Linked DNA regions of Solanum lycopersicum. The main gene of each other region encodes a partner of the protein of the gene in region 3 in a complex. Links are inferred from orthologs where the notes say so. Each region holds a gene or a part of one and is shown on either strand. Other genes may lie near its edges. The genes, in order: sm-like protein LSM8, sm-like protein LSM7, probable U6 snRNA-associated Sm-like protein LSm4 and sm-like protein LSM5.

The links.
Region 1: probable U6 snRNA-associated Sm-like protein LSm4 (region 3) and sm-like protein LSM8 share a complex: the UniProt entries of both Arabidopsis thaliana proteins name them as parts of the heptameric LSM2-LSM8 complex. The link is inferred for Solanum lycopersicum from reciprocal best matches to the Arabidopsis thaliana genes emb1644 and LSM8.
Region 2: probable U6 snRNA-associated Sm-like protein LSm4 (region 3) and sm-like protein LSM7 share a complex: the UniProt entries of both Arabidopsis thaliana proteins name them as parts of the heptameric LSM1-LSM7 complex. The link is inferred for Solanum lycopersicum from reciprocal best matches to the Arabidopsis thaliana genes emb1644 and EMB2816.
Region 4: probable U6 snRNA-associated Sm-like protein LSm4 (region 3) and sm-like protein LSM5 share a complex: the UniProt entries of both Arabidopsis thaliana proteins name them as parts of the heptameric LSM1-LSM7 complex. The link is inferred for Solanum lycopersicum from reciprocal best matches to the Arabidopsis thaliana genes emb1644 and SAD1.

The regions. Positions count from the first base shown.
Region 1 is NC_090805.1:47,955,960-47,961,430, forward strand, and holds sm-like protein LSM8, read right to left. Parts: upstream 3,772-5,471; 5' UTR 3,633-3,771; intron 3,478-3,632; exon of another isoform or gene 3,133-3,477; intron 2,471-3,132; 5' UTR 2,415-2,470; coding exon 2,378-2,414; intron 2,276-2,377; coding exon 2,235-2,275; intron 2,156-2,234; coding exon 2,081-2,155; intron 1,259-2,080; coding exon 1,206-1,258; intron 1,101-1,205; coding exon 1,010-1,100; 3' UTR 733-1,009; downstream 1-732. Other genes in the region: glucan endo-1,3-beta-glucosidase 14, read left to right, coding at 4,946-4,994. UniProt on the Arabidopsis thaliana protein: Component of the nuclear LSM2-LSM8 complex which is involved splicing nuclear mRNAs. LSM2-LSM8 binds directly to the U6 small nuclear RNAs (snRNAs).
Region 2 is NC_090808.1:3,547,562-3,553,214, reverse strand, and holds sm-like protein LSM7, read right to left. Parts: upstream 3,866-5,653; 5' UTR 3,634-3,865; intron 2,436-3,633; 5' UTR 2,363-2,435; coding exon 2,360-2,362; intron 1,895-2,359; coding exon 1,813-1,894; intron 1,552-1,812; coding exon 1,480-1,551; intron 1,172-1,479; coding exon 1,119-1,171; intron 1,040-1,118; coding exon of another isoform or gene 959-1,039; exon of another isoform or gene 858-958; coding exon 768-857; 3' UTR 528-767; downstream 1-527. Other genes in the region: CAAX prenyl protease 2, read left to right, coding at 4,407-4,688, 5,505-5,561. UniProt on the Arabidopsis thaliana protein: Component of LSM protein complexes, which are involved in RNA processing. Component of the cytoplasmic LSM1-LSM7 complex which is involved in mRNA degradation by promoting decapping and leading to accurate 5'-3' mRNA decay.
Region 3 is NC_090800.1:85,773,888-85,779,558, forward strand, and holds the start of probable U6 snRNA-associated Sm-like protein LSm4, read left to right. Parts: upstream 1-2,240; 5' UTR 2,241-2,446; intron 2,447-2,682; 5' UTR 2,683-2,716; coding exon 2,717-2,719; intron 2,720-2,808; coding exon 2,809-2,850; intron 2,851-3,342; coding exon 3,343-3,441; intron 3,442-3,526; coding exon 3,527-3,604; intron 3,605-4,878; exon of another isoform or gene 4,879-4,995; intron 4,996-5,671. UniProt on the Arabidopsis thaliana protein: Component of LSM protein complexes, which are involved in RNA processing. Component of the cytoplasmic LSM1-LSM7 complex which is involved in mRNA degradation by promoting decapping and leading to accurate 5'-3' mRNA decay.
Region 4 is NC_090808.1:68,244,926-68,250,335, forward strand, and holds sm-like protein LSM5, read right to left. Parts: upstream 3,295-5,410; 5' UTR 3,148-3,294; coding exon 3,111-3,147; intron 2,947-3,110; coding exon 2,823-2,946; intron 935-2,822; coding exon 862-934; intron 743-861; coding exon 710-742; 3' UTR 439-709; downstream 1-438. UniProt on the Arabidopsis thaliana protein: Component of LSM protein complexes, which are involved in RNA processing. Component of the cytoplasmic LSM1-LSM7 complex which is involved in mRNA degradation by promoting decapping and leading to accurate 5'-3' mRNA decay.

The DNA.
Region 1 (5,471 bases), on a different chromosome or scaffold from region 3:
TTATAGTGGCCTAATTACCCTAAAATTCAATTAATAAAATATGATATGAGGATGCTCTATGCTAGATTATACCTCTTCGTTCATTTTTATTTGTGATGTCACGCTTTTGAATATCAATTGACTAATTTTTTAAAGTTAAATTAAATTACATTAATTTGATATTTTAAATAAAAAATTTAGATATACAAAAAATCTATGAAAATACTATAAATTGCAATCTTTGCATATCAATGCGATGAAAAATACATCTTAAAATATTAATCAAAATTCTTATAATTTGACTCTAAAAACAAAAATCATGACAACTAAAAATAACTCTAAAAATATTTATTTACAAATAAACTTTATTATTAATAAGAGTTTCTATTAAAAGTGGCAAAACTTAAACCGTTCTATATTTGGTTATGGCCGAAAAGCTTCACTCCCATTTTTGTCTAATAATTTTTTTATACAAATAAAGTGAATTGCTAGTTAAACTTAATAAGAAAAAGACATTTACTTGCATAGTTGTTACTTCAAGGTCTAGGACAAAAATAATCACTTTCTACCCATTTAAGAGTTTTACCCAATAAAATTCTCTGACCATAGTCCATAAATGAAGTTTAAGAAAGGTAAGAGTATTACCACACATTAAGGACCAATTTGATCATTTTCTCGTTCTGTAAAAACAATAAACACCTTTTTAACAGAGACATTAAGTTCGGCTATCCAGCTTAAACAGAAGATGAGAGGTAAACTAAAACAGCTTGTGCTCTTAGGCACAGAAACATGCCTGCAGTTTTAATATGATAGTTATACAAAGTTCAAAATCTTTCGCAAGCCAATATCAGAAAGGGAAACTTATAAGACATATAACGACGACTAACGAACTATAACAGTTTGTGTTCCTAGCTACATAACATGTCTGAAGTTTTCATTTGATAGTTGTACCAAAGTCTATCAACTAAACTGATGTTTGATCCATCCATCATCCGTTCACAGGATTACAAGGCTCACACCAAGTTGCAGGTCAGTGAACGACTGGCTTTAGAGGATGTGCTCTCAGTTTTGACATATCCAAGTTACTATCAAGATCTTCATCTAATTCCCCAACGACGCTTCTGCAACAATTTAACAGGAAAACCTATTAGGGCTTAAAGGAATTCTTGTTTTAGGTGAACCATATGCATCCTTAAAAAAGAAGTGGCAGCAAACAGTGCACATACATGTTGTCTCCCCTTATGATATAAAGACCTAACACAAGTTGCTGTACACCTTCCTGCAAATAAAAGCTAAGGGTTAGTAGTACTTAACACAGCAAGCACAATAATGCAAATAAACCACAGCATAATTGGAAAAAGGTTTACTTATAGGGGTATAAGCATGGAAAAAAAAAAGGAACCTTAATGTGAAAAAAGCCCATAATAGCATGAAACTATAGTTAGCAAACAATTTCAGTCATACCAAAGCATCTTGTTTCACATCTACTGCAGACTGCTACAGCGCCGACATTCAGGAAAACCATACTCAACAACATACCCAGTGTAATCCCACAAATGGAGTCCGAGGATGGTAGGATGTACACAAACCTTACCCCTACCTTTGTGAGGTAGAAAGGCTGTTTCGGATAGACCCTCGGCTCAAAAAGGAGGAAAACCAAACTCTACCATGAAAAAATTATGTTACCCGATTTTCAAAAAAAACCAAATTGAAGATGAAATCTCACTCTTCATTACCTAGATTATGCAACCATGAGGGACTTTTTTAAATGCTGCTTGTTGCTTTGTACTTTCTTTGGCAATTTTTTATGAGAATATTGTCTACTTAGATAGAAAGTAGAACCTGAAAATTCAAATTTTCAGGCATTCAAAAAGTACTTCTAGTAACTGACTAGACTACCATGTAATGACTGAATAAATTCTAGCAAATATTAATGAGCTGGAAAATACTAAGAATCCTAGAAACTACAAGCACCAAATAGAAACATCCACATATATCAAAATGTCGTTCAGAAGTAATTTGTATAAATAACTGTACACCATTACTAAAATGAAATGTCTAGACATGATTAATGAATTCTTCAGATAAGACACAGACGAACCTTTGTTGAATATACTCTCTCATGAGATTCATCAAGAATCAAGTTTGTAGCCTGGTCGAATCCTCTCAGAACTCCCTGAAAAAGAATCAAGAAGTCAGCAAAATAAAGGGTCTCCAGCACAGTATTTGGCAACAAAAGCAAAACAATGTCTCACCACAATATTCCGTCCATCATTTGTAATAACTGAGATAGTTTCTGGAAACACCAAAAGAAAGAAAACAAATAGTGTTATTCCTTAAAACATGAGCTAATCTCATCAAGCAAGACAGAAAATAAATACAAGGACAGTCCACGTACGATCAACAAGAGACTCAAGCCCAAGTCCAGATGCCATGTTGCAGAGTGAGCTGAAACTTAGTTGTCAGCTTCTTGGTAAACTGATGCTAAAACCTTGTCAAAACATAAAAGGAAGCCCACAAGTTAAAATACTTTTAAGCAAAATAAATAATACTAATATGCAAGAATGTGGCCATATAAGAGCTATGTGGGCTTGAACAATTTGCTGGCTAAACTTATGGGTGGGGCATTTGCTCATTTTTCTAGGAAGAAACAACTCATTGAAAATATCAAACAAAGAGCTGAAGGCAGCCTAATCGAGTAGAGATTGGAATTATCATAATATTGTCATTTGCTTTAATACCAATAAAAGATATGGAGTAATGCAAACACAGTCAATTTTTGCAGAACATAAAATATTTCCAAATCCCTTTTTCTCATCCACCTTTAGTCAGTCAGTTTTCTAAATGGTTTTTTCTTAAATCCCAAGATCAAAAGCTATAGTTTAGGTTTCATAAAAACGAAACAGAATGTTTGAGTACTATCTATATATCCCCTTTTTTCCTGTTGAAAAGCTTACAACATAATTAAACCTAGATAGATTATTCCACCGAGCAAAGGGATGAACCATTTTACACCAAAATGGGCAATAAGATTTTCTACCAATTCTAAAGCAATATTATTCCTTCTCTGCATAACAACACAACTTCCACTATTCAGAGACTCTAGAATTACGAAAAAACAAATATCCAATAATAATCTTCATTTGAACTCACCTAGAACCTGGGAGATGGCAAGTATCCCATGTGCGCAAAAGCTGGCCTAGACACCACAGGAACTCACCGGAACAAATGTTTCAAATGCAAACAATACACAATCCCGTAACATTTATACTCAACACTGTTGATTTTTTTTTTCCAACTTTGCACATCGTATTAAAATTATAATCAGAATGCTGAACAAAATACATACATAGTACAGAAACACAAACATAATCAAATTAATTTCATTCCAATAAATATAAACCCTAAATTCCAGTACAGTACTCTCGTATCGTCTTCTAAGTTCGATATACAGTTCATACAGTACCTGAATAACAAAAGTTCATTCCGATATTAAATCTGCCGCCGTATCAGATATTAATTATATCAGCCGAATCAAATTGAAGCAACAAAAAAATGGCGGAGATGATTCAATACATGTAAGAGCTTAGAAATCGGAAAAACAAATAATTTCTACTACAAAGCAAAGAAGAGCCCTAAAATTAGTAATTTACCTGCGAAAAAAAATCGTCGAGGAGTTCTCGAAACTCGAACTGAGGAGGAGAGTGAGACGCCGTGCGTTAAAGTAGGTACTCAGTAAAATTACACAAGTGATCCTTATAACTTTTGTCTAAACTTTGATTTGGTCCTCAATATTTTACTTATCTTGAGATTTGATTCCTCAATAGATGAAAATTAAGCCGGAGTAGTCCTCCTAGAGCAATCTAGGTGATTTAACTACACTCAATTAGAATGAGGGGATTATGATATGAGATTAAAAATTATATCACAAGTATTGTATAGTATAATTATGTATATCATATGTATACAAAATTCTAACTATTAGAATAAATAACAAATTCATTAGTGATTTTCGTATGTGAAATTAAAGTAATATAAAATTTACGCATCCTTTATTCTTAATTTGGTGAAATAAAGAAATTATTTATGAAAAATCCTCAATTCAAATAATTTAAATCAAAAATACTTACAAAAATACAATTTTAAACAAAATAATTTCACACTTTATTTCAAAATTATCATACTTATTTGATCAAACAGACTCGTAAACTATGTGTTACTAATTCTTGTGGAGACATAGTTGAAATGAACCTCATTAGACCCTAAAAAATTCTACAAAGGTTTTTTGTATATCTTATACCCTATAAAATTCTATGAAGATTTTTTATATATGTTATACCATTTTTTTTATAGTAAAAGTTGATAGGTTGTGATATATAATATGTTGTTGTTTTTCTGTGCCATTGGTATAAAACATATCTTAATTTTTTTAAAATTTGATTAAAACTTTTAAAAAATATTTTTTTGAAGACAAGGAAAATAATTCCACAAGTTACATTTTCTCATGTTCCGACCCTATATGTTATCTTGTCATATAGTAATCCACAACTTAAATAATTAGAAATCTGAACACATCTAAATGACTTCTCCAATAAAAAAAAAACAAATTCCATAAGAGACATTATGTCAAGTTCCGATCACTCAATATCTTAGTATATAATTCAAAACTTATATATTTTAAATTCTGAGCTCGTTTTGCTAGTCAAGTACATGACAAAAAGAGGAAAGCTATATGATAAAGGCATTAGAATTAAGAGGGAAGAAATTAATGGCTGTTTTGAAAAGGTTGGAATAAATTCTAAAACAACATTAGAAAACATAATTCTAAAGTTTAGAATCTTTATTGTTTTGATTATCAACTATGCCATATTTGCCTAATAGAGAAGCATTGTATCCCAAGTTACCATCTTTGTTACATATATTACTAATAACTGGGAATAAAATTTATGTTACTAACAAAAAAAAAATGACTTCCTACTTGTCTTTATTCCTCTGTCTCATTCTTCTCTTTAATGGTATTTTTCTGCTCTTTTTTTAGGTTTTAATTGTCATGATCTCAAACTATAATTTGACTTGTACTATCTATGTCCTCAAAGGGAGTCTTGATGCAACTCATAAAGTTGTTATCATGTAACCATATGAGGTCATGAGTTAGAGATGTGGAAACAGTCTCTTGCAGAAATGCAGGGTAAGACTGTGTACAATAGACCCTTGTGGTCCGACCCTTCTCAATCATTGAATAAAGTTCAATAGGCGCCAATTAGCATCAATTGAGCTAGAAACGTTATAAAATGCATTCTACAACATATGTACGCCAATTGATGCTAAGTTGGCGCCTAGCTTCAAGTTGGCCCCCAACTCGCCCCTTATATAAACGTATTTTGAATGGAGTGACATGGATAGTGAGAATTCATATAGCCAGCAAATCCCAACTTGCTCAGGATTTGAGACGTAGTTGTTGTTTTGATCATATTTTGCATAGATGAGAAACA
Region 2 (5,653 bases), on a different chromosome or scaffold from region 3:
TGACAATAAATTGGAGAAATTATATTGGAGACTCATATTCTTGGTATTATCTTAGTATTTGTGTGATGTTAAATATTTAATAATTCAGAATCATACTCCATTTACATATATTAATTTGCATGTATTTGGTGTATTCCTTATGAGGACATGGTATAAAATAATTGAATACAATTTGATAAGACATTATTCACATTTTACTTTTGATTAATTTGGATTTGTATGGGATATAAATGGGATGAACCATAGAAATATGCATTCTAAAATAATTATTGAGATAATAAGCCATAGAACTATATGTTTACTATAACAGTTTAAGCTTAACTGAAATCATTACAAACCTCAATATGGTATCGAAATCGGAGACATCAACCACGATACTAATACAAGTTATGCATCGATTAGTTATGTACCAAACATGAGAGGTGTGTGGTACTCGAGCACCTGTACAATGACGAATATAGGGTTCAGGTAATACGAGAAGATTAGCGTACATGATCCATCAAGAATGACAGGCACAAATCGAGAAATAGTGAAGCCAGAAATCGATGTTTGATACATGTCTGGCATTGTCACAGGTGAAATGGGAACTAATATGACTTTACATCAACAAGAAAAATGAAAACGCAGCAGGAGCAGTTACAGCTTTGCTAGAAGAAGAAGCATTTTCTCTAATAGAAACAGTAAATATTAGCAAATAGAAGGCAAAGGTGCAGAATGTTTACAGCATTACAGTTGAGCTAAATTCGAAATAACAAGGTTTGATTCTTCTATGCCCCGTCTGGCTGAACAAAAGGATTGGATATCTCGTCTGTACCATCAGTTGGAGCCACGAGCATTACTGCAGTACCCCTACAGACCTGTGTGTGGAAGGAAGGCAAGAAGCAGAGAAAAGAGGTCAAATTTATGATTACCTTCCACATTACCTAACCATAGTAGCAATCTAAGTTGCTCGGACTCTTCATAAATGCAGTGCATCTCGTATCCTCCAAAAATAGTATACTTTTGGAACATCTGACATGGAGAGTGCGAGCAACATAGGCTGTAATACATTCTTGAACCAATGTTACGATATTTCTTTAAAAGAATATGTTCTTTGAGAGAATATATAGAACACATACTATTAAGCCAAGACTTCGTTTCTGATCAGTAGTCTTCAGGGGATCATCAGCATCTATGGAAAAAAAGTTTAAAATCATCAACTGTACAACAAATGGAATTCCACAAAATGATGAGTAGCAAGTATCTAATTAAGCAATTTGCTGCTCCATTCTACTGAAAAATAATGAAGGGATTTCAAGGAAAAGATTATTTTCACTTAACAAAATGATAAAACAAATATACAGTATCAGCGCAGACACGCAAAACTTGTGGACGCTAACATAATGCAGAACATGAGAGTCACGAAACAATACATTTCCTCGACTGACCACCATTTAAAACAATTTAAACTCCGAAATTTAGCTATGATAATATTGTTACCTCTAAGGTGCTCCACGGCTTCATCTAAGACAAGATTAAGCAGCTGGTCATAGCCTTTAAGTGTTCCAACCACTGTGAAGACAGAATTAATCAGCAGAAAAGAAAAAGATTGCAATTTGTGCAACTCACAACCCAGAGTCCAGATTGACTATATGATGACGTATCAAGTATCAACAACATAACTCCACAAGCAACAGCAAGAGAGCATGACAAAGAGGTAAAACAAGTCACAACTGGCAAATAGAGAGGAATAAATTGTTTTGACAAGGGAAGGTGTGTTTGAGTGGATGAGCATTCTTATGAGTAATGAATGACAGACATTGCATGACGCACCTTGTCTTCCACCAGTAAGCTTGACTTGCACACCCTTGTCAACAAATTTTGCCAAATCTAAAACTGTTTCTTTCCTGCCAGACTGAACAGAGAAACAAGAAAGTGTATGAGGTAACTACGCCAACTGAAATTCAATAAAAGAATTTACACATTTCCTCCTTGCTGTTGCATAAAAAACATGACTACACCTTAACTAGCAGGTAACAGTTAACCCTTTCACCTCCCTCTCATCAACAAATACCTTAAGAATCTTTTTCTTCTTTCCTCTTTCTATCCAAACTTAGAAAATCTAGAAAGCTTTGAACTACTTTTACAAAAATAGGTACTCCGTCCGGTTCAAAATGTATGTCCACTTAACCTTAATCTTGGTTCAAACATAAGCGTCCACTTACATAATCCAACTTTACCCCTATTTAGATAAGTGAGTTTTTTTATGTAATCAAGAAACAATGTTTTTTTATGAAGATGTAGTCAAGAAACTATGTAAATTAGATAGTAGTAGGATAATTTTGTCAAATTACTGGCTATAGTGTAAGTGAGAACATACCATTTCTTCTGTTTGTCTAAAGAGCTTTCTTTATCCAACTAATGGAGAAAAATTGCTACAACAAGGTGGATATATCCTGCAATAGAAAAACATGTAGTAGAAAAAAATGAGCTCACCGTCCAGCAAACTTACTTGTATAGAGTAGATACAGATATATGCTTTCTAATAATTGTTAGCCTCCTAATGTGATTTAATGATGACAACACATACCAATATCTCACAACTCAAGTACTACAGATTGCAGGAAGAAAGCAAATTATTGTTTTTTGATAGCCATGCTGTCTGAACAAGCTTGCACACCTAGTGCCAGGAAACTTTATCAACCATGGCTAGAACAAATGGATAAAATCAACTAATATTTTGTCTCTGTTGGGATTTGAAATTGAAATCTCATAGTGCACTACCCAATTCATTGACAACTAAGCCAACCCACGGGTGCAAAAGCAAACCAAGATGATCTTGACACAACTCAAAAGGGAAGAAAGAGAGGTCAAGGACACTACCCCAGCATTATAACAGACCAAAAAGGACTGCAATCATGAAGCAAGGGGCATTATAGCGCACATTATAGTGCAAGGCAATTATATCTACCAAGGCTAAAATAGATGAGAAGAAACCAACTAGTGTTTTATACCAACCGAATTTGAATACAAGACCCTCATCGTGCTCAACACACGTCATTGATCATTAAGCTTCACCATTGGGTGAAAAACCCCAATATGATCTTGACACAAAAGGAAGGGAAGGAATGAAGAGAGGTCAAGGCCACAATATCAGCAAAATTATATGAAGACCGTGATCAGGATGCAAGGGGTGTTACAGCGCTGAAGGGCTCCATCAGTTGAAACGACTAACGAGCACACAATTCAACAAACAAGGAGACAAAAACAACTAAGGAGTACACAATTAAACAAACAAGGAGACCAAAACGATAAACGAGCACACAATTAAACGAGAAATTATTCAAAGGACAGAAAAACAACTAACGAGCAAGAAGAGATTGAAACAGCAGAATATTCGACTAGGAGACATAAAATAAATTCTTCAAAAATAACAGGAAACAAGCACAAAATTAAAACAACATGAAACAATTAAGTAGTTAATACTCAGCAACAACAATGCAATAATGAAAGAAAACAAAGCATATAAAAGTTCAGAAATCATAAGTAAAAATCAGAACTTCAAAGGCGAACTAGAACAACTAAAGATTGAATTTTTCCAAATCATATCTCTAATCTCTATAAACTTAAGAAAAAATTAAGGCAAAAACTTACCTAGATAGAACGAGAATTCCGACGGGAATTACTGAACTGTCGGAGCACCACCGGCAACAACCGTATCAACGGCGACGGAGAGAAGAAACCCTAATTTCTACTGGGATCAGTAAAACTGATTGGGTTAGGTATTTTATATTTGGGCCTATTGCGTCCCCTATTATCTATGGGCTATGGGGTTGAGAATTTGGGCCGGTTTACCCATTATGTCCTTTCTCGGGTCATCAAAAACAATCTGTTTACTTTCACAACGTACAAATAAGGTTATGTATGCACCACGTATAATTTTCATATGTAACTTATAGAATTATTATTTTATCACTTATAGAATTATATTGAGTTTATTTGTAATATTGTTGTTGTTTCTTTTCTTTAGATCAATATTTAGATTTTGTTTTTGTTTTAAAAAATTAGCTCTTAAAAATCATCTTATTAGATAATATTAGACTCGAATTTAATAATTTTCTCGTATAATTCTCATTTTCATAAAACAATTTAACGTTTATCTAGCCTATAAAATCTTACCATATATTTTAAGATTTTTTCATATGATTTTTAGATTAAAAAATTTAAAGTGATATATTGTTTTTATTATACTAGTTTTAATATAATAATAATCTAAGTTACGTAATGATTACATCGAAAATCAAACTTATAAGTTGTAATTGACGAAACTACCCATGCTAAAATAAAAATACTAATTTCTTCCATCAAAGCAAAAATATAAAACTATTTAGCAGTGTTTTTTGTTTAACGAATTTGTGTTGTAATTTATGTATTATTATTATTATTTGCTAATAAATCCGTCTGAAAATCCGGCGACGATGGAAGTAGCATTCATCGGCGGCGGAGACGGCGGTGGTGATGTGTCGAAATCGCTTGCAGTGATTGCGTGCACTGCGATGGCAATTTTGTATGTTGCGATCTTATATGCTCCGACGTTGATTCTCCGATTACCGCCGCCAGATTCGTTTCAATCGTATTTGATTCGACGGTTCATATGCGCTGCAATTTCATCTGTTACCTCACTTATTGCTTGCTCTCTTCTCCTCCCTGTAAGATTCCTTCATCATGTACTAATTTTATAGCATTTTCTGACCTTTGATTGAATTTTTTTTTTGCTGTTGCTCAATATATCGTTTTCTGTGTTGCTATGTTACAGGATCGGAGTAATTTTGTTAATACAACTAATAATTATTATCTCAGAAACTCATGCTTGTTGTGGACTTTTCGGATTTTTTGGTTTTTTAAACTATTAATTGAGTGAGCATATGAGAAATCTAGCTTATTTAGTTTAGCAAAGCGAAGTGTTAAAAGATGCTAAAGTAGGAGCATGATGTCTCCTCTGAGCATTCTGATTCTCTTTGTATGTATGTGTATATTTCCATTTTAATTCTCAGTTAGAATATGTATCATCTCTTATGCACCTCTTATACGAAATACTTTGCTAGCATTTGGACATTGATTTTGAAAGTTGTTTTTGAAAATTTATCTGATATCTGTTTGGCCATGATTAAAATCTGTTCTTTAAATATTTTGACGTCCCAAAGAATGGGTCACACCAGTCTTTTTTTGTTTTGGCGACTTCCTCGGACAAAACTTCAAACTTTTTCCAAGTAAAATGCAAATCCAAACACAACTCCAAATTGTAAAATCACTTTGAAAACTCATTTTTTAAGTTTAAAGTTTAAAGTTTCAACTTCAAAATCTATAGCAAACGGGAAATAAACCATTTGCTGGAAGCAAGGACTTATATTAGTTTTACATTCATCTATGAACGAATTATTGGTTTTGGAGCTTCTCTGCAAAGAGTACTTTACTAGTAACTTCCTCTTGTATTCTGAGTCTAATACAATTTTTCAATCTTTCAGATTCAGTGGGGTAAATCTCACCTTTCAGGTGTTTATGGCATCAGATTGGATCATATCGTAAGTATCATATCTGTGCTGGATTAGTTTTTTTTGCATGCGACAATGCTTTGCATGTGGTTGTTATCAAGTTCTGCTCTTTTATGACTCGC
Region 3 (5,671 bases):
TAGAAACTATTGTCCAATTTTTATTTTTTCCAGTATCGTTCAATACTGTTTTCCTTTGGAACGTTTCAATGCTTAGATCATTTCCAATTCACTTTTATTTTAGTCTTTATTTTTATATTTGGAGAGTAAAAATAGAGAAAAGACACTCCGGCTCCTCTTTATTTTAATCTATATTCTTTATTTTCAGAGAGGTGAATATTAGTTTTACAAATTTGAATAACCACTTTATTGTTATTTTTATTATTATATAATTAACATATTATTTTACATATAATGTTATCACTTAAATATCTAATATTCGTAATTTTTAAAAATGTAATATGATACGTTTAAAAATATATTATTTTAATATATACTATATTCATTTCGAATTGATAATGTTTCAAATTTAAAAAAATCGTCACTAATATAATTTAATTTCATTATTAATTTTCACTATAAAGAAAGTACCATTAAAATGATGAGATGAAAATTCTAATTTAAAAAATACAATGCATACACAATAATTTAAATATAAGATAATAGTCTAATACATAAGATAATCATTTAATTACTACGTAAAAGTACAATACATAAGATAATAGTTTAAATACAAAAATAACAATATCATAAATAACATAATAACTTATTTATCATAACGATAATTTAGTAATTCAATAGGTCATTTTTAGATTTAGCTATATTCTGGGAAAAACAATGTATGGGCCAAAAATTTGTTATTACTGCGATTGTGCATATCGAGTTCTTTTTTCAATTATTTATAGTTGTTCTTTTTGCACGTAATTACGAACATTTATATCACTAATAACTTCTAAAATTATATTAAAATTTTATTTTCTTATATAACTTCCTTGAGTTTGACATATCTATTTAGCCTTACGTCGTCTTGTTGTTCGGATATAGCTACTCTAATTGTACAATAGTTTGTGGTAGATGAAAATTTCTAATTTGAACTATTTTTAGTTACGTAAAAATTAAGGATAAAAATATTAATTTTGAACTCCATAGTGCATTGTTACAAGGAAAAATTGTATATATTGGTAAACTAATAAATCAAATTAAATGCTATAACTATACTTTAATTTAATTGTACCCTGTAGCAAACTGTTTGTTAGTCATCTCTTTCCTCAAATTCTTGCTCGCCACTTTTCCTCTCTCGACTTGCTCCCTCTCACTTTTATACAAACACAAGTTTATAAGATGCAATTCTGTTTTTATAAAGTAAAAAAAAATTGTATATATACATACATTTTCTTTCCCCGCTCTCCGTTCTCGCTCGCTACTCTCCCATATCTCGCTCGCTACCTTCGCTTATACAAACATAAATGAAATGTGTAAATTGTGTTTCTGTTTGTATAAAGTGAGAGAAAATTGTATATAAACTTGCAAATACATATATCTTCATGCTATACACTTATAATTATACAATACAAATATTCCTCTGCCCAAATTTCCTTTGTCTTTCTCTATTTCTCGTTTTATACATACACAAATTATACAATTGATTTGTATACAACTGCTTTCTTTTGTATATGTATAGTGAATTATACAATTGGTTTCTTTGTACATGTTTAGAAATTATACATATTTATGTTTGCTATAGAGTGCAATTATGCAAACTTTGCTATAGCATACAAATTTGAATTTTGTATTACGATATGTGAAAGTTGCTCTTATTAGAGCAATTTGGGGAGTAACATAATAATCTTGAAAGTTGAATATTTATGTAATGTTTATGTAATTGTATTTCATTAATGATTTCACTTTTATTCGAATTGTGCTTTAATTTTTATATTATATAATACTTTATTGTAATTTATGTTATTTAAAAATTTAGAATAAAATATAATTTTACATTAAAAATTATTTTAAAAAATAAAAAATTATATCACATAAAAATTACCCCATAAAGTGATTATTTTAAGAACAAAAAAAGAAGCAATAATTTCTCTTATGAAAATAAGAATAAAATAGAAATAAAAATATAATATTGAAAAGAAATAAATAAATCCTATTTAGAATATATAAAAAAAAGAATTGAGTTGAGTTGATTTTCTAAAAAAACAAATTAAATTGAAGTTGATTTTAAGAATAAAGAAATCTATATTCGTAAATTAATAAAGAATATGATATTTATATTTATTTAATATATGCATGTCATCTATTTAATTTTATAATTTATTTTACTAAACTTATCCTGTTAAATATTAGTTTAAAAAAAAGGTGAAAATGAAAGTAGTAGACAATTCAATTTACAGCCCATGAAACGTGGAGCCCACCCAATTCATACTTGATAGCCCTAACGGCGGTACAACAGAAAATTTTCAATTTACAATAAAGCTGGACTCCACTTGCTACAGTTCAAGTTTAATCTACGAACCTTAACGCTTTCGTTTTTCTTTTTCTTTTTCAACAAAAGGGAGGAAAAAGACGAAGATCAAGCTAGGTAAGGCTTTGAATATCTTATATGTATTAGCAAAGATTATGCGTATAAACTATGCACTATCTAGGTTTTGATTGTAAAGAAGAGAGAATTTATAGATTTAAGTGTGCCTAGGTTTTGAATGTAAAGAAAGAGAGAATTTACAGATTTAAGTGTTTTTTTTTTTTGTGTGTGTGTGCGCAGTTCTTCGGGATCAGTTTTTTGTTGTATTGGTAATCCGTGTGTTTTGACTTTTGCAGGCAATCTTGAATTCGGAACTTCCCCCATCTAAAGATGGTAGGTTTAGCGACAATCGCTTTCTGAGCTGTAGGTTTAGGGTTTTGAGTTCTTATGAAGCTCTAATTTTATTTTTTCTTCTGTCTCAGCTTCCCCTCTCTTTGCTCAAGACTGCACAGGGGCATCCCATGGTAAGCTTTTGAATTCATGTGGAAGAGGGGTAGTGTCTCCTTATTTTGTTTCTCTCTTTCTTGTTTATTGTTTAGTCTGATCTTAATTCTTTTCGGTGTGGTAATGCAGTTAGCTCAATTAGGTTTTTCAAGTGCTGCATGTTTCGAATGAACCTGAACTTATGAATAACATACAAAAACAACAAACCCGGTGAATAAAGTAGTTATAGGTATACAGGAGTGTAATTCTCCTGGAGAATAACAATAATGATTTCATGTTTTGTCCAGTTGTTAGTTGAGGCTTTTGGCTAACATTCTTAAAGGCAACAGATTTTTTGTTGGTATAGTTTATCAAGTTTCTGCTTATTTATATAGTATCTCCAAAATATGCCACAAGTTTCTGGAATCCACGAGATTCCAGGGATTTTGAGATTTTGTATGGGATTATCGTTGTTTAAGTTGATTGTATTTGTTCAATTATCTTAATCTGGAAACTTTTGTTTTCTAATACAGCTGGTGGAACTAAAAAATGGAGAGACTTATAATGGTCATTTGGTGAATTGTGATACTTGGATGAATATCCATCTTCGTGAAGTTATCTGTACGTCAAAGGTAATTCATTGTTTATTAAATATGTTATTGCTAGGTTTTCAAATGTATTGGTGCAAGACCACATGATTTTGAAAAATCAATGCAGGATGGAGATAGATTTTGGAGAATGCCTGAATGTTATATTCGTGGCAATACCATAAAGTATCTTAGAGTTCCTGACGAGGTTAGTTCGTTTTCTTAATTGCTATGATTAATAATGCTTTTGTGTAGTATTATTCGCTTTTTCACTTGCAACATAGTGTGTATGGAACGTTTGGACCTTGTACTAAGGGAACAGAAGATGGGTGCCTATTTTGCAGTAGTTATTTGTGTTATTAAATGGTCGCTTGGCAGGGGTGACTGTAAAATTTGTATACTAGTTGTGGAATGGCAGTTTCTACTTAATTAACTGGGACTTAAATACTTGCTTTAGTGCTATCACCCAACATGACAATGAGTTTGAACAATCTTTAGTTGTCATAGCGATTACACGTTAATATACACAATAAATATTTTTTTACACGCCTCCTAACATGCAGGCCTGAATTTTTTTTCCTGTGCCAAGCTCACAACTTATTTGCTGATAATGGGGTGGTTGAGAATTGCACTATGTTGAGATGTGAAATGTGTGATAATCTGATGTAAAAGCTTAAGTTGTTAGGGAGAACACATTTTAGTTTACTTAATAACATCTTGTACGTAACACGGAGGACGGTCCATTAACACCTTTATCGTGGTGCATTTAGGGGCTTGGTTTGATGTAGGTAGGTGGACTCAAGATACTAGCTAATCTTGGTGTGATCAGACTCATGGATATACTTCTCTGGTTACTTTACTCAATGGGGCTTTTAGGGGTGGGTTTCAGTAGTGTTGTTGTAGGCTGAAGTTATGTTACTAGCTAATCTGTGGTGTCTGGGCCTATGGGGCTAAACTTAACTATGGCATACTTGGAATCAGAGCTGGAAAGCATAGAGAACCGGGTAGAAAGTTAAAAGAGGTATCAGCAGTAACACATGTCTAAGGAAAAATGGAGGAAACTGAAGGTTGAACTTACAACACAACTCTGATGTTCCTATAGGGTTAATATAAATGCATCCAATATTCTTGTTGCCTCTTTTCGACCGATAAAATAGGTTTCTTGAAGTGAAATCATTGCTGTGGTTGGACCATTAGTGTTTTAGACTTTGAACATAGTGTTCTTCTCAAATAAGATGTGTAGCCAAGTGGTTTTCATTTAAGATTCGGAAGTTGGATAATTCTTAGTTCTAAGTAATTATTTTCCAATATTAATGGCTTATTTTATATCAGATATCCTATACAAATTTTTTTTATAAAATGTTAGATATCATTAGGTTGAACCACTATTGATGTTGTTCTTTCTTGCATGCCTGTAGTCCACTGTGTTTATTTCCCCGTGACTGTGAGTAGCACATTCTTGTAAGAGGAGAATTGATTACGCTGATGTGATGCAATTTAGCCAAATCAGACATTGTTGTGCTCCCTATGGACCGTTGAATCTGACACCTTAGGTAGGAGTGTGACTCTATGAAGATGGCAATGAGAGATTGCTTTAGCGATGACGAGCTTCCATGTGAAATATAACATTTGCACTTTTGACTAAATAAAGTGGCGGCCCCTGCTTTCTGCTTCTAATTTCTTCCTAGAGATTCACTCTTCTGCCCTGTTTTTTATAGTTCATGACAGGCACATATGGGAAGTTATCCTAGCTTCTCTCGTCCATTCACCTTCCACACATTCATAGTTGATTCAGGAATGACCTTTGAGTTTTGGAAGTTATCCTTTTGTTGATCTTCTAGGAGTGCCAAGAACCATCTTTTCCCAGTGTTTAATTCCTTAGATGCTTTTCTTTTTGTTTGTGTGGGCTTTCAGTACTATCTAGGAAGGGAGATGATGTTTGAATACAGCTGTTATCCTAATCTTCTGTACTTCTCCTTTGTTTGGACACATGGGGGGGGGGGGGGGGAGTTTGTAAAGGAGATGTAGGTGAGAAGAGTTTTCATGGGCAGCTCACATTTTCTTTTAGAAGGTCATAATGTTAACAGATAGAAGTAACCTGTAAAATGAAAATTCTCTATATCCTTTCAGATGTAAATGGCAGATTTACACTTTCACTTCTACGAAAATGGAAAAGAATGCAGATTGCCTTTTCTTTTATACATAGAATAACTTTAGTATTGCAACATTATTTACTGAGAGGTTAAGCTTTGTAGATATTCTTGATTATATATAT
Region 4 (5,410 bases), on a different chromosome or scaffold from region 3:
GAGACATCATTTAATAAGGGATAGTTTGATGAAATATCTATATCGATAATTATTTACTTAATAAATGTGTCAAATCAAAGTGTAATAAATAAAAGTAAACGGACTAAGTTTAAGAAGAATAAAAAAGACTTTTCAATTTCGTAATGTTAAATTAAAAGATAGATAGAATACACCAAAGTGTTTTTAAAAAAAAAAAAATTTGTTGTCTTACATGTGTTAATTAGAAAGTTAAAACTAAATATTTACTTTAAAAAAGTATAATATTTTTAAATGGACTTAAAAAAAATTGATTAATTTGAATTTACAATTTGCAAAGGCAAAGAGTCTTACTCTACCCTGCTTGGTTTATTATTATTTAGATTAATCAAAGACAAGACGAAATCACCTGATGTTTTACGCACTTCATTAACCATTAGACTACACCCTCGGGGCACAAAGAAATTAAAATGGATCGTCAACAGTAACCAACGATCCATTTGAGTTTTACCATTCCTGTAGAAACTCCATACAGAGTTTAAAGCTAATAGCTTGGCAACACCAGAGCCAAAGTACCATTGCAAGAATCATCACCATAAATGTTTTCAATATAATGCAACTACAATTGATAGTAGATCCTAGCTGAACACATGAGAATTACTAAAAATACATGTATCTCGCGGAAATCTTCATCAACTAGTCTCACTAAACAGCACAAGTTGCGTTGCAGTTATCATTCATCAGGTGGCGACCCTCCAGGAACCAGCTGCATTGAGGGGGGGAAAAGATTATATTCACGATACAATATTGTTATGCGAATGAAAAAAGGAAAAAAATGAAGAAAGAAAATACTATTATAGTCAGAGAGGGCTAGATTATACTCACGATAGCAATGTTGTTTCCATTGAGCAATATCTGATCAAGTTTTGTTATCCTCCGCCCTTCAGAAGTGATCTCGCTGTAACATGATTGAAAATTTGTTAAGCAGAGGAATGATAAAATGCTCTTTTCAACTATAACCCATGACCGGGAAAAATAAACCTGTCTACATTCTGGGATGGGGAATAACATGAACTTTACAAATGACGGACATACTGTTTTTCATTGAAAATTTAGGATATAATAACTTTTATGCGAATAATAAACTAGACTTAAAGAGAGACCACATCTTATACTGAATTGTCAATACAGCAGATGAATGCATCCTAAAACCTCCATTTTCAATATGTAAAGATAGTTTTTTTTTAGAAAGAATCAGTCAGCATCAAAAGTTGCAAGATATACAACGAAGTTGCTTTGAACGTGAAGTTACTACACTCAAGGAGTATGTTTTAGCCTTTAGGTGTCAACTCATGAAACTATTCCTATTTACAATGATCCCTTTAAGATCTGTAAGACGGAATATGCAAATAACATTTATCTTAAATTTGTACTAAAATAAAACCAAATCCTCACTCTAATAGAGATACCAAAGCTAATTTTAGTCCCCCAGCGCAACAGATCAGGCCTCCGCATCAATGACATACCCAGGGGCTGAGGATGGTAGAGTATACGCAGACCTTACCCCTAATTCGTGGAGGTAGACAGGCTGTTTCCAAACGAACTTCAACTCAAGTAAAGCAAAACAAAGGAGTAATACAAAATTTGATAGAAATGGCAGTGAAATAAATACTGAAAAATAGTTGCACAGTGGAGTGACAAATATTCCATTCAACTATAGCTCATAGCAGAGTTATGAGGCAGAAGCAGGACGGATAACTTTTCAAATGTCACAAACTATGTAACATCAATATTCAGGCATTAACGTTTATGCAGAGCTAACATAAAAACTGGTGTTTTTGTTCAAACTTCACCAAAAGTTCACAACTTCATTCTTGAATCATTTTTAACTACATTGAACACTAAACCCCGAACCCTATGCACAAGGGTAGCTTTAGTGCACCAGGCTGCCCTTTTCTTTAGGATGCTAAACCCCAATTCAGTTATTAGTACACAGGTTGCAATTCTAAACTCAGGCAAATTTGACCAGGCGCCTAAGACAATACAAAATTGGTCTACTTATTCAATCTCTGCTCCAAATCCAATGCACACAATTGAAAACATGCTAAAATCCTTTAGCACTCCAAAACCCTATAGTTACAATCTTTGACAAAACAATGGCAAGATGATAGCATTCTAAAACCCTAAATTTCCAATCTTCAACAAAACAACATCAAAATCATCAACAAAAAAAACTGCACCACACCATTAGAAGTATAAAAAGAAAGATACAAAAGACTTACTATTCAGTAACATCTTCAAGAACTGGTGTATTCAAACTTCACCAAAAGTTCACAACTATATTCTTGAATCATTTTCAACTACACACGACACCAACCCCAGTTCTCTTATAAGTACACAGATTGCAATTCTGAACTAGACAAATTTGACCGGGCACCTAACACTACACAAAACTGGTCTACTTAATCAATCTCTGCAATCCAATGCACACAACTTTATTCTTGAATGATTTTCAACTACACACAACACTAAACCCCAATTCTCTTATAAGTGCACAGATTGCAATTCTGAACTAGACAAATTTGACCGAGCACCTAACAGTACACAAAACTGGTCTACTTAATCAATCTCTGCTCCAAATCCAATGCACACAATTGAAAATCTACTAAATTCATTTAGCACTCCAAAACCCTAAAGTCACAATCATTGACAAAACAATGGCAAAATTATAGCATTTCAAAACCCTAAAGTTCCAATCTTTAACAAAACAACAGCAAAAGCATCAACAAAAAGAACTGCACCACCACACCATTAGAAGTATGAAAAGAAAGATACAAAAGACTTACTATTCAGTAACATCTTCAAGAACCATGTTAACATAAACATCAAATCCTCTAAGTGTACCAACAAGCTCCTTATCACCCTTCATTATCACCCATATCTTTGAACCAATGCAACGATCAATCAACTCTGCATATTAAAACCCATAAACTCAAAAACCCATCTCATAAAAATAACCAAATAACACAAAAATTACAGCAAATCCCTAATTAAAAAAAAATAATAATAAGAACAAAATCAAAAAGACACAAGGCTTAAAGTTCCAATTGATAAAATCTAGTTAAAGAAAGTACCAGAAGGAAGAAGCTGAGAAGGGTTGTTCGAAGACATAGCTGAGATTGAGATTTCACAAAGTTTTTCTCTTTTGCTCACAAAATTCTAATGGAGTAATGGCGGTGAACTGAAATAGCTTAAAACTGTTCAACTTTAGGGGCTTTTGTGTTTAGGGTGATTTCTTGAAGGGTTGAAATTGACATTTTATAAACTTTGAGCCTTTTGGGCCTGGATTTTGCCAATGGCCCAATATCAGACTCTTAATAATGGGCTTAGATTCTCCTTTCCTTTTCTTAAGGTATATGGGCTTGGCCCATTTAAATTTGAGAATTTGGGGAAACGGATACTAGGAAATTACGCATGATGTCTTTGAAAGTGTTCGATTTTAAACTTTTGTTCTTGATTGATAAAACGATCTCAACTTGAAAATAAATCGCAAGGAAGAACTTACGTTAGATATAGTTTGTGGTCAATTGAGCAAGTTTCGTATCACTATCATTTAGAATGTAATCGAGAAATAATGAAGTTCTGATTAAGAGTTCTAAATTATACGGAAAAAAATTATGAAGTTTAAATTTTTTATTAATTTAAAATTTCACAATTATGGTGTGAAATTATGTTGGAATATTGAATTCTTCTGAAAAGGATTCACGGAGTAAAATCTTTTGACAGTCATAACGAAAATTCATTAGAATTTCAAATTGGGTAAACGACTTATAGAATCTAAACTCCTAAAATAAATCACGGAACTAAAACTTTCACAAAAAAATTAATGAATTTTTAAATTTGAGAAACGATTTATTGAGTTAAAACTCTAAATTAATCAAATATTATTAAGGGCATGACTTTAGATAAGGTGGAGTTGATGCTACATATTCGGGTAGATAGTTGAATGGGTTAGAAAGTATCTCGCTTAGTCTTGTTAGTGCCTGTTGATAGGGGCGGAGCTAGCTTATGCCCAGGTTGGTCATCCGAACCCCTTCGATTGAAAATTATATTATTCTTTATGTCCTAATTTATGTAGTACTTCTCGTTTTTCAAGAGTCAAACAATTTAAGTTTGATCGGGAATTTGCGCATGAAATTTTCAATTTTGTTGAAATGAAATTGATGTATTTATAAACTAAGTAAAAAAATACTATAAGTCACAATAATTGATAATTTAAAATGTTTAAAAGATCTATGAAAAAATTACGTTCAAAGATAGACTTGTTTGAAGCTTGAAATTCGAAAATTATCGCATAAAATGAGACAGATGGAGTGTTTATATATGATTAAAATTATTTTTTTGTATAAATAATAAATGTTGAACCCCTTTCGAGTTTTGTACCCCTAAGTGAAAACATATGAAGGCTTCCACCAGTTCGAATGTTTATCTATTCATATTTTATACCCCTAAGTGAAAGCTTTAGCTCGGCCTTGTAATAATACTTATACACTATTTTATTTTTTTAGACTTTTTGTTGTTATTTTATTAAGTGTTGTATTATTTTTTTTATTACTCGAATTAAAATTTACGTATATTTTATTCTTTTCAAACTCTATCGAATGATATTTCACTTATTGTTGTTGTGCTTTAGTGAAAAGTTAGGTAGGCTATAAGGTGTGATTTTGGCCACGAGAGGGACCTTTTTAGAGGATATTTTGTCATGTGATTAAAGTTTTGTTAAATTCCTCTTAATTTTGAAACTCAAATTAATGAAATGGTCCATTTCTTGTTTCCTATTTTTATTTATATATTTATTTAATATTCAAAATTTGGTAGCTCACTAATTATAGTTTGTCGTGCTTTTAAGAAATTAAAAGTATTTATTTTATTTTTTTAGAAAAATAATATTTTTTTTCCTATAAAATTGGTGTGTTTGATCAAGCTTTAATGAAAAAATAAATATTTTTGATAATAATAATAAAATGTTTTCAGAAAATCTAAAAATACTTTTTAAAAAAACTTGTATAAACGCAATTTGCTCCAATAATACTAGCAAAAATATATATTTTTCTGACCAATCAAAAATATTATTCTTCAAAACTCAAAAGTATCTTTTTAAAAAAACACTTATACCAGAATAAATTATTTTAATATGAAATCACTTCCTTGGTTCATTTATTTGTTTTCCTTTTTCTTTTTCTCTTGAAGTACTTCGTAGCAGGTGCGGAGGCATCATATAATGAGGGAGTTCAGCTCGATGAAAAAATATTATTATTTATAAAATAATTTTTTAATTATGTATAATAGATGTTAAAAAATCTCCCATTAGTTCATATGTTTACTTTCAGTTTTAAACCCCTCATTAAAATTTCTGGCTTCACCATATTTCATA